Linked DNA regions of Oryzias latipes. The protein of the gene in region 1 interacts with the protein of each later gene in a pairwise test. Links are inferred from orthologs where the notes say so. Each region holds a gene or a part of one and is shown in the gene's direction. Other genes may lie near its edges.

Region 1 (3,823 bases):
TGCAGAGGCACAGACAGGAGGAGCGAGAAAGGAGGAGGAGAGAGGAGGAGGAGGCAACCAGGTGAACACTTGTTTTTGATGTAGCTGCACAATCTGCAGAATATTTCTGTCTCCTGAGTACAACTCACAATTAAAAAGACAATCCCATGCTGTCTTATAGCTACCTATCAGTGAATGAAAGGAACTCAGCAATCATTGGATTAAATCATTGGATTAAAACGCTTTCCGCCTGACTGCTTCCAGTTTTCATAGCATCTCAGGGCACCACAAAGTGGACATTTTTTAATTGGCTCACAATTTAGGGGGAACAGTCCTGCACGTACATGGAAACACAGAAGAGTAGGAAAAGATTGTAAACACACAAGAAAGTTATTCTTCACTTTAACACTGCGCCATAATCAACTCTACAAGCTCATTTACAGTTTGTATACATTTTACAATCTCCGATAAATAACCTGAAAAAAATTGTGTTTTTGGTGTTATGAACATGTTCTGGTTGCATTTTGCTGATGATAGAGGACATATATTAAAGAATTAAGCTTAAAATTCAATATTTCATTGCTGTGAATCATGAGCAGACAAATAAAATGCCATTTGAAAATACACCAGGTCTCCCTACAGTCTCCCTGCTCCGCTCCATTCTGATGCAACCACTTGTAGACAAATGTACGTCTTTGTTTTCTTCATCTGAGCTGGGATCAGGACAAAAATGTACGGCTGGATAGTTCCAATATTGCTCGCCATTTTTGTTGCACCCCTAGTGTTAGGTTGGGGTTGTGAGGGGCTGTAGGCTAGCAGGACAATTTGTGTGGGGCTAGGGTTCCTCCCACCCACAGCTCGGAGATTAATTTCTGATAAACTCCTGCAGCTCTGCAGATACAGCCCTCGAAAATGACCGGGGGGGGGGGGGGGGGGGGGGGGGGGGGTTCTGGCTATAAACAACATAATCATAATTAAAAGACCAATGGGAACGATTTAAAAATAGATCAAAAGATGATTGGAGTGGGTCCATGCAGACAGATGTGACACAGAGTCTGCAGATGTTTTTTCAACAGACTCATGTTAAATGATGCATGTTAAAACCCTTCATAATATAGGAAGCACTTTTATATAAAATGCAGCTTTCTACTAAGTTTAGTGTAAGGAAGAGTTGCAGCCATTGTGGTCACACTGATGTCTGGCACAAATATTACAAACTCTGGACTAGAGACTGCTGCTGGACTACAGTCTGACAACCAAGCGTATTTTGACCTGTTTAGTCTACGAGTTAGTGAAAATCCAGTGAAATTTCTGACGTTTTTTTTAAAAAAAAGTCTTGAACTGATGCAAAATAATAAAATAAGAAAGCTCTGATCTAGGGGTTTTAGATTCAAATTCCTTGTAGATGTTAAAATTTACAAGATATTTGGTAAAAGAAAAAACATCCCGTGAAGTCTTTTAAAGTGTTGTTTTTGTTTTTTTCTACAGACAGAAGAAGCTGGAGCAGGAGAGGAGAGAGCAGGAGCAGAGAGAAAAAGAAAAAAAGGAGAGAGAAGAAGAGGAGGAACGGCAGAGGAGGCTCCTGAAGGAGCAGTGGGCTAGGCAGAGAGAGGAAGAGGAGAGAGAAGCACAAGCTCGCCTCCGGGCTGCCCAGGAGAAAGCACAGGAAGAGGAGCAACAGAGGAGGGAAGAGGAAAGAAGAAGGAGAGAGGAGGAGGAGGAGAGGCAGAAAAGAGAACAGGAAGAGGAAAGGAGGAGAAAGGAGGTGGAGGAGAGGCAGAGAAGGGAAGAGGAGGAGCGGAAGAAGAGAGAAGAGGAAGAAGGGAGGAAACTGAAGGAGTTGGAGGTGATGAAGAAGAAGGAACTGGAAAGAGGAGGACAGCTGACAACATACAAAGCTTTGTATTCATTTGTTGCCCGCAACGCAGATGAGCTTAGTATAGATGCAAACTGCCTCATCCAGGTAAGAAAAAAGCTTCTATAATTTTTAAATATCATTAATAATCTGCAGCTTAATATCAGCGAAAAATATTCTTACATGAAAATATTTCCTTTAATAAACTAACTGGATGACTAATTGCTACCACTTATTTTATGGATGGATTATTGTTTGTTATGCAAAATGTTTTTTCTTCTAATCTCACCTTGTTGCATATTTCTGTCTGTTGTGGCAGGTGAATGAGCTCACTGTGGGCGAGCCTGGCTGGTTGTGTGGGACGTACTGTGGAAAGAGGGGCTGGTTCCCCCAGAGTTACGCAGAGAAATGTCCCACCTTCCTCACCTCCGAAGCTGCTGCTCCTGCTGCTGGAAAGAAATCCTGTCTTCAACCAAACACAAAGTATGAGGCCAAAGTTAAGCAGTTTTGGATATTTTCCTTGAAAGTTGTGTCCAGTGCTGTCTCTTAAAGCTGGTCCCACTTGTATTGCAGAGATCCAGCTGTGGAGAAAGCAGACAATAACACTGCTCTTGTAAATTCAGATCCTTCACAGGTGAGACGATCTTAATATGCCAGATGTAGTTAAAGCATTCCATCTTTCTGTTATCATCTCTTTAATCTTCAGATTTAAGGTAAATGTCATGGAAGAAAGTCTTTTTTCACATTAAACTGCAAGAAACATTCCAGAATACAATGTTCTTTGCTGATATTAATAATTTTTTCTCACAATTTTTTACTCTGATTTTGATTAAATACTCACTCTGATAAAAAATTGTGTTGTTTTTTTTTACATGGGCTTGTGGCATTTTTCTGATGATTGAGAACATATATTAAGAGATGCATTAAGAGATGCATTTCTTTGTTCAAATCGTTGTGAATCAGGAGCAGATGAAAGAATGCTGTTTGTAAAAGATGGTATTTGTGACGTAGAAAATACGCCGAGCGGGACACAAGCTCCTTGCTCTGCGCTCTCAAGAATGGGGAGGGGAAGGGGGGCGGGGTTGCTCTTTGCCAACAGTCCAACCCACAACTCAGGGGTAAATTTCAAATGTACTGATGCTCTGCAGAAACTGTGTCCTAGAAAATTACAGGTGTTTTTTATTTTGGCTACAAAGGCATATTCGTATTCACAACAAAAGACCAGTGGAAAACGCCTTTGAAAATAGATGATTGGACTGGGACTTTAAAGCATCGCTTCAAATACAACACAACCAAGTGGCAGTGAAAGATGTGCATCACAGCAAATCAAAAAGTCAAATGTTTAAAGGTCGTAGAAACTCAAATAGTCCAAATCATTCATACACGTAGCCATGGTTTAAGTGTATTTTCTTTATGCCCTATTAATAAGGGAAAACATCCAGAAGGAGGAAGCAATGTCCAACAGAAAAGACTTGTTTAGACACTTTTAGGTCAGAGAGGACAAAAACAAAACAAACACTAGAGCATCTCAATTTGAATAAAGGAATACTTAAAAGTGCAATTTAAGCCTAACTGTCTTCATATCTGTCCTCTATCATCAGAAAAATTACACAAGAACATGTTAATAACACCAAAAACGCCATTTTAATCATGGTGGCTCATCTTGGCCTTACACTGTAAGTGGGTCTCGATGTGTCAGACCAGCTGCTGGTGCCACAAACGTGCACGCACATCTTTTGCCGCAGCACGCGTATGTATTTTTAGCTTCTCCCTGTTGGGACTCATCCTCTCTCAGCTTCTCTGTGGGTCACACTCTGCCGTTTGCTGAAGTCCACCCGACCGTCGTTTGTGTTAGTGGGTCTGTCCTCAGTCAAATGCTGAGAAAGTTACCTGCTGACTGATGCCTGCGCTTTGCTCTCCAGTGTTCGGTCACTCTGCTCGCCAGGGCCATCTCTTCGTGGTCAGCCACCTCAGGTGGTCACCCAGACT
Region 2 (3,056 bases), on another chromosome or scaffold:
AAAACTGTACAGCTGGATTGCTCTGACTTTTGTTGCATCAGTAATGTTATGTGGGGATTTTGAGAGGCTGTAAGGTAGTGGGATGGGGAGCAAACAAAGGGGATGGTGGGAAACCGTAGAAACCGTCCTTAGTGGTGGAGTGGAGGACCTGTGTAGAACCTAATTCTGCAGGAGGTTGGAGTGAAGCTCGTGAGATGAGAGTAGCATTTTTTTGGAAGTCTGGTGTCAGGATGACTGTGCTCAATAATGTTCTCACTTTATTTCACAACAGCAGGTGACACTTTAGGCTCATGCATGCAGAGCTCTTGGCTCATTTAGTCGAATTTATTTATGCCACAATAACAAATCTGTCCAAACAGGCTGATAAGCAAATACAACAGGGTTTTTGGCTCTATTGAACCGCACGCAACAAAGTTTAAGCTTCATAAATGCACTTTAAAAGGCAAGCAATAGTCTTGAATGGTTGTATTCATGTTTGAGGTGGGATCCGTTTTAGCCTAATGGCTGTGCAATACCCCTATCAAAAGGTTTTGTGTTGCCATAGTGACAGAAGTGTTGTCTTGTTGCAGGTGAAACACCTGACTCGTGACTGGAGAACAACCGCTTATGCTCTGAAGCACTCAAAGATGCTTGAGCTGAACGAAGAGGGTCGCAAAGTGCGGCGCAAGTCCGCGGTGCCAGTCTTCGCCAGCGAGTCGCTGCCCAGCCGCATGCTGCTGCTGAGCGATCTGCAGAAGTGGCCTGATTTGGCCGTTCTAACTAAAGAGAATGGGAGCGGAGAAGGAGGAGCCACTCAGCAGGAGCAGCTGATGAAGCTGCTGCTCAAAGAATTTGGAACTTTTGGCGCCATCTCTTCTGTGAGAGTCCTGAAGCCTGGGAAAGACCTGCCGGCTGACCTGAAGAGGCTGAGCGGGCGCTACCCTCAGTTAGGCGCTGACGAGTGCGCCATTGTGGAGTTTGAGGAGGTGGAAGCCGCCGTAAAAGCCAACGATGCAGTAGGAAGTGAAGATGGAGGAAACAGCTCCCTGGGGTTAAAAGTGGTTCTGATTGGAACCAAGCCGCCTAAAAAGAAGGTGCCCAAAGAACGGCCCCGCGAGGAGGGAGGGATGCGCAAGAGTCGCTCTCTGAACAGCAGAGTCAGAGAGCTCCAGTATCACGGAGACGACTCCGCCTGCAGCTCTTCAGAAACGGAGAGCACCCCCACATCGCCCAGGCTGGCTAGAAAATCCCTTTCCTGCAACAAGCTCAGCCCCACCACAGCTGGCATCAACTTCCAGAACAATCACCTAAGTCCTGGTATGTCTCCACGCAACAGCCCCTGGTCGAGTCCTCGTGCCAGCCCGTGTCCTCAGCGCAAATCCCCCCACTCGCACAAGTCTCCCCTCGCCAGTGAGGGGAGGCTGAGCCCCGAGGCGGGGCGCCGCTGGGCAGACTACTCCTCAGACAGCAGCCTCACCCCTTCAGGGAGTCCGTGGGTTCAACGGCGCAAGCAGGTGGCGTCTCAGGAGAGCAGTCCAGTCGGCAGCCCGATGCTGGGGAGAAAGATCCAAAACGCAGACGGCCTGCCACCCGGAGTAATGAGGCTGCCGAGGGGTCCCGACGGCACCCGCGGCTTTCACAGCATCACTGTTGCTGAGAGAGGAAAGTCTGCCGCCACTCAGACTTGATACTTGATACGAGGCACATCCTTATGCATTTCCTGCCCCTTCCAGATCCATCAGAAACTTGGCCATGTTTGCCCCGCCCCCTCCCTCGAACATTTGAGACTGTGTAGATATATTTTTGTCAAGTGCGTTAGTTTTCAGTATTTGTTATATTTTTATACGGCATTTTGCGTTGCCATGGTAACATGAGGGATTTACCAATGGAAATCAGAGTGAATGTAAACGGACGTTTGAGAGAGGGCGCCACGGAAACGGACCGTGCTGCCTCCATTTCCTCGGGCTGTGTGCTGGTTCGGGTGAGCCTGACAGAATTCCACCTCGTCCACTTTGGTTTGAGCGTCCCATTTGATGTGCAAACCCCCTCCCCCTGCAACATTGTCTGGATTTTAAATGTGCAAGTGGCACAGGCACATGGGTTTGATAGAGATATCACCATATGCCTTCTCGTGTGTTAGTCTAATGTGAATTTCACTCTAGGATATTTTGAATTGAAGCCATTTTTGCCATAAAGGTTGAATTTTTGTTGCGTTTTTTTATTCTAAGTTCATTTTCTGTATGCTTTGGCACTTGCTACAGGCAGGTAGCTGCTTTATTTATATTTTTTAAGCTGTGTTTTCTTTTCGTTTTTGCTTTGACATGCTCACATTGAGGTTTGAGGAAAGTTGAGGTCTGGCAGAATCGATGCACATGTGTTTATTGCCTTTACATCTGAGCTGGGGCATTTGTACATTGAAACTCCTATTGTACAAATAAATCACTGAAATTGCCGTCAGTTTGATTTCTGTCTTTACTACGTGTTTTTGTCTCAAATGTCTTAAGCAGCAGGATTAAGCTGGATATCGTTATTGTGCCAAGATGGTTAAAGAGATCCCGGATTTTCAAGACTGACTTGGCACACGATATTTGAAAATCAGTTTATAGGTGTTGGAAAAACCTAGAGGGTATACTTTGTCAAAATTGTTCTGTAGTTCATTTTGTTCAGAGGGAAATATTTTCCCACTTCTTGCTTTTAAAGCATCCAGGAGTCAATCTTTTTCCAGCTTTCTGTGTGAAATACAGGGACGATGTTTGCCCATCCTGATTCGTAGCCACTCTGAATTGCTTTCTCAATGCCTTTCAGTGATGTTGCACTTCAGATAGCTGTATTTTACTGTTATTATTTTCAAGAGCTGCCCGGGGATTGAACTGCCATCTTGCTGTAAAGAACCATTTTTTTTTTTTCTGTCTGCGCAGGACTTTGTTTTTCCCACAGTCTGGGTCTGCTGCAGGCCTTCCCATAGCATGATCTGATTAGTAGGGGCTCAAAGGCTCTGGTATGTTTTCATTCACATGTGTGGAGATGTCATCAAGGTTCAAACTCTCCTGAAGCGCTGATTTTTCTTTTATTTAATA

Evidence for each region.
Region 2: the proteins of intersectin-2 (region 1) and la-related protein 6-like interact in a two-hybrid assay, tested with the Homo sapiens proteins (2 studies listed by BioGRID, with this or other methods). The link is inferred for Oryzias latipes from reciprocal best matches to the Homo sapiens genes ITSN2 and LARP6.

What each region holds. Positions count from the first base shown.
Region 1 is NC_019882.2:14,797,246-14,801,068, forward strand, and holds part of intersectin-2, read left to right. Parts: coding exon 1-61; intron 62-1,467; coding exon 1,468-1,942; intron 1,943-2,153; coding exon 2,154-2,317; intron 2,318-2,407; coding exon 2,408-2,468; intron 2,469-3,756; coding exon 3,757-3,823.
Region 2 is NC_019861.2:31,088,232-31,091,287, forward strand, and holds the end of la-related protein 6-like, read left to right. Parts: intron 1-569; coding exon 570-1,667; 3' UTR 1,668-2,436; downstream 2,437-3,056. UniProt on the Homo sapiens protein: Regulates the coordinated translation of type I collagen alpha-1 and alpha-2 mRNAs, CO1A1 and CO1A2. Stabilizes mRNAs through high-affinity binding of a stem-loop structure in their 5' UTR.